3 linked regions of the Caenorhabditis elegans genome follow. The protein of the gene in region 2 interacts with the protein of the main gene of each other region in a pairwise test. Each region holds a gene or a part of one and is shown on either strand. Other genes may lie near its edges. The genes, in order: clec-28, rcan-1 and F44A2.7.

Region 1 (3,806 bases), on a different chromosome or scaffold from region 2:
CGTTATGTTCAAACTTTATACTACGTGAGTGGATATATTCCACTGGGTGCAGTGGTTCCAAACTACAACGTCATATATTGGATGGATGGATCACCAGCGACATATAATAATATTCTATATTATACGAATGGAACTTGTCTGTTTTTGAATTTTTCATGGGGAGGCAGTGGTGATTTCTGGGAAACTGTCGAATGCACTGATAAATCATGGTTTCTGTGTAAATGGCCCATTGGAATTGATTATGCACAGTGATTGGTTTTCGATAACGAATATTAACTTAAAACTGAACCATTTTGAATTTTCTGACTATGATGATTATCACAATAAATCATGAAATTAATAAGCTTATTTTTTTGAAATGAATACTTAATTAATAGTACGAGTGAAAGAGCACATTGATAAGAGAACACGATGGCATGGATTACTTACTACAGCTTATGAGTCAAATACGGCACATGACCTCGGTCTGAACCGAGGGTGGGTCCGAATTTCCGGATATTTCAAAAAAATTTTTGGATTGCCGCACTCGCCAATCTAAATTGGTGCATCCGGCAAAAAATAAACGGTTGTTGTGTTGTTAAAATTAACAATTAATTTTGAATAAATTAATATATTTATTATTTGGGAAACCCCTAAAAAATTTATCTACTTTTTTCAAGATGATAGGGTATTGTGTGAAACATTTATTGAACAAATATATTAATTATTTTCCTATAATTCTTCGTTTGCAAATGAACTTTGCTCTGTCAATCATGCATTTGTAACCATCCCAGCGTCCGACATCATTTGAGAGCAGAATACAGTTCCCTCGTGTAAGCGTTCTTATATTTGTGTAAGTTGAAGGTGTTCCATCATACCATATGACCTTGTCGCCTGACAAAGCAACTCCGCCAAGTGCAATCATTGAAAACGAAGGAAAGATGCCCATGAAAAAGCGGTTTTCATTTGCAGAATGAATTGTGGCCAAATTGGAACCCGATGATGCGCAGATGCTCTGCGCATCGCTGGAGATTTGCAGCTGATCGTATGGGGTGTAACAATAGTTGTTGTAGTTGTATTTGCAGGTGCTATCTGAAATCAAACGTGTAATTTGTAATTTCTCTAATTCTCACCGTAAATGGTTGCTGGTAGCTCGCACACAAAACTCATAATCTCATTACACGATCCACTTGACCATTGCCCGGCTTGCGTTCCAGTAGTCTTGTAATAAATGCAACCTCCAGCCATGTTATTCGGATAACCTAAAAATCATTCTGTGAATATTCCAACAATTCTGAGCACTACCATCGGCAAAGTTATTGTAGGCGGAGGTGGTTCCGCTTTTGACATCCCAGGTACACGTAAACGGGTTTATCCCGACGCAGTTTAATCCGGTCCAAAGGTTCTCAACGTGCTGATCTTTCAAAAATTCCAGCACAGCTTGATTATCCTGTTCAAAATATTTAAAAAACGGAAATTCTTGTGAGTGTTCCGTACCTGGTCGTTTCTGATCGAGAAAAGTGTGGATCCACCTAGACTGAAGCAAGCCTGGTCGGCATCTGCTCTATTCTTCTGAACAGTGACCAACTTCCAGCACTTGTTGCCGACGTAAGTAAAACCAGAAGCGCAAGTGAGATTTCCCGAAACTGGAAAATAATTTGTAAAGTCTTTTTAGAGTAACTGATAAAACCCAAAATCTTACCCGGGGTGGGCATAGTAGCGAAAGTTGCGGAAATTGATGTTGTGTCTGAATTCATTTTATTAATAATGGAATATTTATGTATCTCTCACCAAGTTTTGTATGTGTTGAGAGTGAATTTGATGTTGTCGTAACAGGCAAAGTTTTCGGTTTTAAGGTAGTACTTGTTGCAATAGAACTCTTGTCAGGTTTTGTAGAATAAGAAGAAGAGGCATATGTCAATGTGCTGGGTAGAGTACTAGTGTGGAATATAGAAGTCGTTACTATACCTAACAAACAAGCAAAAATATTATTGTAGTTTAACTATTTAAATACCTGTTTCACATGCTGGTTGTTTCGCCAAAATAAAGGTCAACATAAAAGCAAAAACGATTATTATGATTTCAGCTAATCCTCCAATCAATATATTTTTCCAATGATTTGTCATGAAAAGTTTAAATTTTTCGGAATAAGGTTGAGTTTTTGGTTGAGATGGTTCTTGAAGCTCTTGAATCTCGTCAATATCGGACATTATTACACTTTTTGCAAACAAAAACTCAAAATTAAATGAATAATTGTCTTTGTGGAAGGAGTGGTGATAAGAAAAGTTAATTCTCTTAATATAATCCTTGACGTTGTGCTTTAAACAGAAGATTAATTTCTTTGGAACCGAGTGGTTGCTTCGTGTATCATCGCTTCCGTGAAAATTTATTCGTGTCTTTTTTTGTCACCGTTTGGATGTAATTTCAAAAAAAAAAAAACTTTAAAAAACTTTAAGGTGACAGGAATTTTTGCACTATATGAGTAATTGTCAACATTCTCTCCACTGGCCCCACTTCACCTTCAATTGAACTAATATTCTTATCAACTCTTCCGATCATTTCATTAATCGAAATAATATCATCGTACATGAGAAAAAACATGTTCGAAAATTAGTTTTGCATGACTTACTAATAGAGGAAATACGGTATATTAATTTATTCAAAATTACCTATTGACTCTAACTACAACAACCGTGAATACAATGTACATATTTTGTTCCGAGTACATCAATTTAGATTGGGAATCTCCTTTTTTATCGAAAGTGTGAGGCAATCCAAAAATTTCAGCAATTTCCGGAAATTTGGACCCACCCTTCAGGCCGAGCTCATGTGCCGTATTTGACTCATAAGCAGTAAGTAATCCATGCCATCGTGTTCTCTTATCAATGTGCTCTTCCACTCGTACTATTAATTAAGTATTCATTTCAAAAAAATACGCTTATTAATTTCATGATTTATTGTTTTCATGAGTATTCGATATATGAGATTGATATTCAGAAAATTCAAAATGGTTCAGTTTTCAGTTAATATTCATTATCTAAAGTCAATCTCTACCAATAGTCAATTCCTATAGGCCGTTTACACAGAAACCATGATTTATCGGCGCATTCGACAGTGTGCCAGTCATCACCACTGCCTTCCCATGAAAGATTCAAAAACAGACAAGTTCCATTCGTATAATGTTGAATATTATATGTCGCTGGTGGTCCGTCCATCCAATATATGACGTTGTAGTTTGGAACCACTGCGCCAAGTGTAATATATCCACCGCCAATGTATATTGATTGAATGTAACGATTTTCATTGGCCGAAGTGATTGAAACGAGGTTGCCGCCGTGCTTTGTTTTGCAGAACTTCTGAGCATCAGCAATGGTGGACGACTTATCGTAGCGTACGTAACAATTATTGTTGTAATTGTGATCACTATTATCATCTTCAATTAACAACATTAAAAGGGGCATAAGTCGAACCTTGAAGCCTTACCATGAACAGTTTGGTGAATGCACCGAAACCTCATGGTTTCTTTGTAAACGGCCGGCAGGAATTGTGTGTTGAATTTATAAACCTTTAAATTTTGAATGTTTCATATTGCACATGTTATTTTCAGAACCCGACGTAGTCTGAACTTCAGAAATAGAAAAAAAAACTCAGCATCCAGATTCTCTCAGTTTTCAAAGTTTTTACCCAGAAATATCCATGTTTATTCCCATTTAAAAACTATCTGAACACTTAAAAAAAGAAATAAAATTTAGAACAGAAAACGGAAAAATAAAAATTACAGCACGCAAAAAGCGAAAAAAACCCGCCGCCGGCTTACTGCTGAAATC
Region 2 (4,390 bases):
TTTAGGCTTAATTCAAGATCCAATAGAAATTGTTCATTAACAAAATAAGCGTTCACACATTTTTTTAACTGTGATAGGTTCCGTGCATTTTGCAACAAAAAACAGCAGATCGGATAGTACTTGTGATTTTGATTTTTTAGTTTTGAACGAAAAAATCAAATCAGCAGATCAAATAAACTATTTTAGATCAAGGACATTGATCAAATATTTGCGAAATACTTTTGTAAATTGACCGAATTACACAACAAAAATTGTTTACTAAATCAGTATTATTTTTTACGGTAACTTTAGTTTCGAAAATAACTCTTGATAAATCTTCCGGAACAGTACCTTAACTCCTGTTTTTTTTTCAAAAATCAAAACAAATTTCAAAAACATTTCATAGAATTCCAGAGCTACAAAACAGTGATAATGTGTCAAATTCAACACCTCCTTGTTTCGTTTCTCTCGTGTTTTTTTCTTCTTCTTTTACTGCTCCGCGAGCATCAAAATATCTGTGTAAATGCACGTGTTTTCCTACTTCTCTCACTCGTGGTTCATTTCATCTCCTATTTTTGTCATAAGGTTCTGTTTTTAGACATGTTTTTTCTTGAGTTTAGAATCGATTCTCTATCAATTTCAATTTCGCTCTAAAGATAAAAATTTGAATTTCTAGTTACAAAATGTTGTTGCAGTTGTCCATTTTTTAAAACGAAAGGCTTCTCCAAGGGAATCGTGGTCCACAAGTGAAGTGTGATTCCCAAAACTGAGCGTTTTGTACTCTTTTCGAACAATCTCCATACGTCTTATGTGAATGGATGTCATTCCTAAACCTCTGACCGATTTTCATTCCACTCGGCTGCTCGCAGAGTTCAGAGGCTTAACCTCTTGATCGTTTTTCTTTTTTTAGTCTTGCTGTTTCTCCCAGCTCGAATTGTATTCAAATTTCTGATGAAACTGCGTCAGCGCTCTGCTGCGCCTGGGGGAGATTATGGAAATTTTTGTGGGCTTTTTTTCGCTTTTTGAATTTTGGTGCGTCTAATATCAGAGTATTGTCTCATATTTTACGAATTTCTAGTCCTTGGTTTCTCGGAATTTTAAACCAATTTGGTGAATTTAAGAAAAGTTGCCGTATCTTTTCAAAAGCACACACTGATTTTCTAAAAATTTTGATCGTGGTAGGACCCTTTCTGCATCAAAAATAGATGTATCTTTGCAATTATAATTTCTGCCATTTCGTGTTCCATCCCTCCACGTCACACAGAAATAATCCAATGTTCAGTTTCACCGACCACGTGAACAAACATTGACATCATTTCTGTCCGCTTCCCGGTCCAGTTTTTGATGGTTTCCGTGCGGATCAGAAGAAGAGAACACATTGTATCTGAATATATATATATTGGCACGAGGCAGGCCACCCCATTCTGCACGAATCTTTTGTCGTTTATTGTAGGTCTCGCCACGATTCAAGTTATTTTTGAAGCTAATTATTAAGAGAATACCCTAAAAGGTTCATTTTTACAAGATTTCATAATAATTCTCAATTATTGAGAATAATTTTCGAAATGTTGAATCAAAAATTGGATTATTTCGTTATTATAAGAACTTTTCGTCTCTAGGAACTTGGAAGCATAAGAAAAACAGCAAATTTCCCGCCTCAAAAATTCCAAGAGTTTTTGTTCAAAATTCTATATTCAGAACGGGGGGACTAAAAGATTTGTTGTTTTTGTCGAAAAACCGAACAATAAATGTTTTTTCTTTTGCTTTAAACCACCCACACTCATGCACCATGAGTCATTTGTTCCAAAAATTTGAAATTCCCTTGATGGCCATGGCTACTGGTTTACTGGAAAATCTATCTTATTCAGTCTACGTCTCACTTTCCTTCTGCTTTTTTTATGGATATTTCTTCTCGAGACCACTGTTCTTTCTTCCTTTCTCTTGACCATCTTCATCATCACCGTCATCACGTTGTGTTTTCAGAGTTTTCAAGCTCCAGAATCCATGTGATTTTTTTTTCGTCTAAATTGTGCCCTCCGGCACCCGATTTCCGTTTTGAAACGCCCACACCATGAAAAGAAGATAGAAAAAATGAATCTTTTTTTCAGGCTTCAGTTCTTCTTTTTCTCCCAAACTCGGTGGTTGCTGAAATTTTTTCTATAAGTTAACAACAAAAAATGGTGGCTGATAACTCGGAAAAATCAACGAAATCCGTTGCCAATGGATCATTGATCAGCACTGTTTCCAGTAAAGATGATCTTCCAAATGCAATTATTGTGACTCAAGTACCAGAAGATGTAAGCTTTTGATTTCAAATTGGCTCTACTTTTAACTTTTATTTATAGGTATTCGATAATAAACAAGACAAGGCAAACTTCTCATCTCTATTCACACAAATCGAGAAAGACATTCATTTCGATTTCCTGCGCAGCTTCCGACGAGTTCGAGTAATTTTCAGGTGAGTCAGAGGAAACCGCCAATTTTCAATAACTTTTGTTTTGTTTCCAGCTCCCCCGAAAACGCTACAGCCGCCAAACTTATCGTTCAAGGATTCTCTTTTAAAGGGCACGAGTTGAAAGCTTTTTTTGCACAAAGGATCTACATGAGTGCCAATTCCCAAATGCTTTCCCCCCCACCACTCGAAAAACAGTTTTTAATTTCACCACCATGTTCTCCACCAGTCGGATGGGAGCAGACTAAAGATATGCCACCGGTTGTATGCAATTTTGATTTAATGGCCAGACTTGCGTCATTTGCTATCGATGAAAAGTAAGTTTATATGACGTTTATCAAAAGTTGAAAAATGTGAAAAAAGGGGTCTATAAGTTTGGAGTTTTGCAAGCCTGGAATACTGTTTCTACTTTGTATCACACAGCGCTTATTACGGGAACACCACATTTTGAGAATGCGTTTTGCGCAACATATGCAAAATATCTCGTAGCGAAAACTACAGTATTTTTTTTTAAATGACTACTGTAGCACTTGTGTCGATTTACGAGCTCGATTTTTGAAATTAATTCCTTTTCGAATAGTGTGTCGTATAATAACGTCGTATTCTTATTTTGCTCAATTTTAATATTCTTTCATTAAATCAATGATTTTAGTTAGTTTTAAAATCGAGCCAGTAAATCGACACAAGCACTATAGTAGTCATTTAAAGAATTACTGTAGTTTTCGCTACGAGATATTTTGAATAGTTGTGCAAAACGCATTCCCAAAATTATATGTTCTTGTAATAGTTGCTACATGCTCAATTTTTTTATTATTATTCATATCTCTGTAAAGTTTGACATCTGAAGCAACCACTATGACGTAGATCTTGGCGAGACCCACTCAGAAGAAGCGTGTGCCTTTAAACTGAAGTGCCAGAATTTCGCGAAAGTACAATAAACTAAATATTGAAATATTTTAATCAATTTTTTTCAAATCCAAAATTCAGATATGAAGTACACAATGGAGACGAGCTGACACCAGCAATCATTGTTCATCCATGCGAGACCCCAATTGACGTACCATCAGCAATTGAAATGCCACGAACTCCACGCCCTTCATCTCCATGTGAACAGTAATTATCTTGGATATCCCTTTCCTTCTCATTCTTCTTGTTATTCATTTTTCTCTTCCAGCTTTACAATCATCCTCATTCTATTTGTGTTGCACTCCTTCTTCTCCAATTTTTTCATTTTTTCCTTGTTTCAACTTCAATCCGCAGAGCTTATTCTGCCGCGGGTAGACGTGTCTCTTCCTAATCCAACAATCCACTTATTTTTGCTGATATTTTGTTTTTGTAAATATATCCCAAAAATTGTTTACCACCCAATACTTACTATATATTCCTTTTTATGGAATGAATCTTCAAAATGAAAAAAAAAGAAAATAATGCAAATAAATTATTTGTATTTAAAAGAACTGACAATATCACATGAAAAGAAGGAAAAAGCAAGTATAATATACCCGAGCCCTGATAAAAAGTTATTCGTTAATATTTAAGTTCTAAACCGTCATTGGATCCTTCCTAGCAACAGATACATCATGATATCCCATTGCTCTCGCCACGAATCTTCTTATCATATTATCCCAAGACGTCTTGTTCTTGCTGTACAAATTCAAATAAATTGCCAGCATCACCACAGATCCCGCATAAACATATTCGATGGTGAACGGCTTCGAGAAGAGCATGAACGACAGAATTATAGTCAGTGCCTTGCGAAGAGTTGTCACAGTAACCGCAACAAGTGCTCCAAACACTTTGATATGAGTGAGCACAACGTTGACACCGAGATATCCAAGACATGAGAGGATCAGTGCGTAGCCGAATGTTTTCCACGAGTTCTCCAGGAAAAATGGAATTGCACTGAAGACTTCACCGGAGAGCACGACAAATGCGAAAATGAACACTGAGCCAATTCCA
Region 3 (3,950 bases), on a different chromosome or scaffold from region 2:
AAGTGTTTTTCGCCGGCGCTGATCCCGTCGCTCGACTTCCACGGCGGACCATTTTCGAGTGTGTCACTCGTCCCGTGGGAGGTACTTCTAATATCTGTGGTCTGAAATTAAAATATAGTATTTAAAAGTGGGCATCATTTATTAATTTACCTGTGCGCCAAAGGGTTCTTTGCTAACCCAGATTTTACAAGAAATTACTGGACAAGAGGTATCAGTTAGTCTTCTTGTGAAATTCTGAAATAGAAACAATGAATATTTAAAGAAAATAATTAAAAAGAAAAGTAAAACGTCAACCTTTTGAAGTTTAAACTTTTATGAATCCTAAAAAAATGTGGCGCGCAATGAATGAATGTTCTGTTTGCCGCAAGTTTGCGTGGGATACGGTATCCCGCGTATTACAGACGAAACATCATAACTGCCGAGCTAATTTTATATCGTTTCTGAAATTAAAGTATAATTCATGAATAGCAAGAAGGCAGATTAAAAATGCCTTATTTAAAATTATATATTCACAAAATATTTATTTCAAATCAAACATAACCATGCGCACAATGACGAATACCAAAAACCTTCTTCTCATCAGTTTTGATGATTTTTTGAGTGAATTGACTTCTACAGAACTCTTTTGTTACAAAAACACCGTCACAGAATGGGGTTAAAACGAATGGAATAGCTAAATTTGTGGAAGGATATATCGTAGAGAGACTTTTAAACGTTGAGAATTCGAAAGAGTTTAAAATTGATTTGAGGATCATAGCAGCGATTTCTGGGCAATCGGAATATAGAGGTGAGATGGTGAGACGATTGAGCGATACTTCACGGATAGCTCCGAAACCCACACAGTTGCCGTTTGAATCTACAGCCATCTAAAATTAAAACATTTGAAGAATTAAAGAAGGGAATACATACTTTTGAATGTACTCCACAAGCCATTAACCAAGTGTTAATAACTTTAGTTCTGCTCATCTTACAAATTCCTTTATCGTATTCCGATACACTATCGTACTTCAAATCTTCCACAGTTACCCCATCAACTTCTTTGATTCCTGATGGAATTTTCAAATTTTCAATTTGTATTACTGCTGAGCAATGAAAGTATGGGCTCAACTCTTTGAACCCATAGCGTTTTTCATACCACTGCCACATTGTTCCAACTCCAAAAAGAAAGCAATTATGATCTCCATAGATTGATTGTATTTTGTCAAAAAGATACTTTCCAAATGATCGATTACGGAAATCGACAAGGCAATAGAAAAATGCAACCGTAAATAGAGGTGTCCCATCCTGAAGATCACTTCTAGCTAGGGATACTGAAGCTACGTACCGGTCGGTTCCTATAAAAATAATTAATTTTTTTAATCTTGCAATAGGTTGGTAGGTATGCATGTAAGCAGTCAGCTGTGAGCTTGGCACCTAGGCTGACACGTAGGAGCATAGTTATGGGAAAAGGAAGAGATAGTGGCGCGAGTGCTAAACGCTAAAGCTGACAACACTAAGATTGTGCATTAAATTTTAAAAAGCGAGCAGTCAGTTTTTTTTGATCGTAGAAGTTGGATAAATTACCTTTTTGTTGAATCATGACCATCCAGTGCTTGGAATAATTATTTTTCCATATGTCGTAGTCATTTTCCTAAAAGATCACATAAAGTGATTAAAGATTATTTTGTGATTTTCCTTGCATACTGTCCAAATTATAGTGAACGAAAATAAAATATTTTGTCGGTTAACAAAGTTTTTGAAAAGATTGAGGTGATAATAAAAATTTGGAACTGATGGGTGAAATAAGTTAGGCAAGTTATAAAGACATCTAAGTTCATACCTGAAATGCCCATCCTTCAGTAGTAGATACTAGATGCACAAACTCTTTGAATACATCATTTGGTGGATTGTAGGTCAAAATGAATTCATCGTCAATTATATCAACTTCTGTCATATTTATTTATCTGAAACTCAATTCGTAAGAAAACTTTGCGTACATGTTGAGAACAACGTCGGTGCAAAACTGGGAAGCGAAATGGAAGGGTCTCCTTATCGTTTTTCGCGACTTTTAGTCTGATGAAAAAAAAAAAAAAAAAAATTAATTACAAGTTTAGTATGATCGTTTTTATCAGTAAAAAAGGATGAAGAAACGGTACGGGGGTCGGTACAGATAATTTATTATTGTTTGAAAAATGTGAAAACGATGGAGTTCAGAAATTGAAGAAATCGGAAATCGAGTGGACATTAACCCAAAGGTACCTAACCAGAAAATGAGAAGAGATCTATGGAGATTCTAGAGTGGCAAGTTTTTGACACCAATAATAGGAATATCAGAAAAGGGTTCAATTTGCTTTGAATTTTAGAATAATTCGCACAATTTCAGCACTAATGAAATGTCCTAAAATTCAAATTCTCTGACAAACCTAAACAATTAATGAAAGAAATAAGGAACATTTTTGGAGACAAAAAACTGGGACAAAATCGAACCCGTTTGGTGTATATTTACAAATAAAAGGGGTAAATTAAAAACAAGAAGGAGAAAAATGATTGATAAGATAAATAATAATATTAACAATCAGAATCCAACATATCGTTTGCTCTTCTTTTTCACTGGTTGGGCAGCCGGTGCTCCATTATTCAATGGGTGTACAGTCCGATGCACAATCATGTGCCCTTGTTCTTCGTCTCCATCTCCACCGCTCCACCCTCCTGTCGATTCAGCAAATTTGTCGATTATCATTGAAATTGGGAATGCGAGCACAATGATTCCACACACTGAGGCCAAAGCAGCAACCACTTTTCCTCCAGCAGTTATAGGCACCAAATCACCATAGCCAACTGTGGTCATTGTTATGACACCTGAAAATAATTATATTAGTTTAAGAATAGGAAGCCCACGAGTAGTCATGGTACCGCATCTTGGTCTAACTTCTGGAATCCGTGGCACCACGTGTTTTTGCAAGATGGAAGTCACTACAGTTTTTTCAAATGAAGTATACAACAAAACGATTGTGAAGTCAAACTCACAAATCCACGTATTGGCACGGCTTTCAGAGGTTAAATCTAGATGAAAGCACTAACCGAACACTTCATAAACTTTTGAAATTTGCATTATTCTAGCAAAATTTCATTGTACTCTGCAGCCATAATCAAAATCCCATTAAAAAATTCACATAAAACAATTTCAGTCAAACTTTTGGTAAGTTACCAAAAATTTTGAGAAATTCGGCATTTTTGTGAAATGTACTGCAATTTTGCATTTTCGGATCTATATCATGTTTAGATACAAATAATCAAAAGATAAATATTTACCTATAAAATTTTTAAAATTGAATTTTGCAACTAAAAAAAAAAGAAAATAACATCAACACTTAAACTACATGTTTGGCATAATCTAAAATAGGAGTTGTATATTCATATTCAACTATAGTCATTTTTCCTAAATCCTTAAAATTTATTTTTGATGTTTCTGAAATGAGTTGCCCATCCGACGTAATTTCAAAATCAAGTAAAACAGTCTATCATACTAAATATATCATTTCACACTATGATTATCATAATATCTTATCTTTTGCAAAATAACAGTAAAGGTTTCAGACTTCAACCTTTTTATCAGTTTTAAAATTCAACGAAACACCAAGTATGTTTTCCATAATTTAGAAATTTCGAATAACATCGCTCCATTAATTGTTTGAAGTTTTCAAAGAACTTACACCACCAGCAGGCTGCTGGAATACTGTAGAACTTGGAGTTGGGCTCATCTCGCTCGAAGAAATAAATTGCAGTTGAGAACAGCATGATTCCTGTTAAATTTCAAGCATCAACATTTCATTCATTTTCACGGGTTAAAATTCATTTTCGTTTTTTCTGTTTTACAGTTTTCTAGCATACGAACAATAAAAAATTGACTCAGAGGAATTAGCTATAGCTGGATGTTCATATTTTTGGTATTAGCTGCAGCTTTACAACTT

Evidence for each region.
Region 1: the proteins of rcan-1 (region 2) and clec-28 interact in a two-hybrid assay, tested with the Caenorhabditis elegans proteins (one large-scale study listed by BioGRID).
Region 3: the proteins of rcan-1 (region 2) and F44A2.7 interact in a two-hybrid assay, tested with the Caenorhabditis elegans proteins (one large-scale study listed by BioGRID).

What each region holds. Positions count from the first base shown.
Region 1 is NC_003283.11:16,864,124-16,867,929, reverse strand, and holds clec-28 (C-type lectin domain-containing protein), read right to left. Parts: upstream 2,227-3,806; 5' UTR 2,190-2,226; coding exon 1,994-2,189; intron 1,948-1,993; coding exon 1,771-1,947; intron 1,727-1,770; coding exon 1,682-1,726; intron 1,626-1,681; coding exon 1,477-1,625; intron 1,430-1,476; coding exon 1,285-1,429; intron 1,242-1,284; coding exon 1,113-1,241; intron 1,072-1,112; coding exon 704-1,071; 3' UTR 637-703; downstream 1-636. Other genes in the region: clec-33 (C-type lectin domain-containing protein), read left to right, coding at 1-252.
Region 2 is NC_003281.10:5,681,796-5,686,185, reverse strand, and holds rcan-1 (Calcipressin-like protein), read left to right. Parts: upstream 1-2,087; 5' UTR 2,088-2,156; coding exon 2,157-2,276; intron 2,277-2,324; coding exon 2,325-2,437; intron 2,438-2,487; coding exon 2,488-2,748; intron 2,749-3,418; coding exon 3,419-3,548; 3' UTR 3,549-3,884; downstream 3,885-4,390. Other genes in the region: pst-2 (Adenosine 3'-phospho 5'-phosphosulfate transporter 2), read right to left, coding at 3,973-4,390. UniProt on the Caenorhabditis elegans protein: Inhibits tax-6/calcineurin A phosphatase activity and thereby negatively regulates calcineurin-mediated functions.
Region 3 is NC_003283.11:9,319,486-9,323,435, reverse strand, and holds F44A2.7 (N-acetyltransferase domain-containing protein), read right to left. Parts: upstream 1,952-3,950; 5' UTR 1,934-1,951; coding exon 1,820-1,933; intron 1,631-1,819; coding exon 1,564-1,630; intron 1,335-1,563; coding exon 910-1,334; intron 867-909; coding exon 531-866; 3' UTR 507-530; downstream 1-506. Other genes in the region: ntl-2.2 (NOT2/NOT3/NOT5 C-terminal domain-containing protein), read right to left, coding at 1-52; kvs-3 (BTB domain-containing protein), read right to left, coding at 2,555-2,838, 3,693-3,782.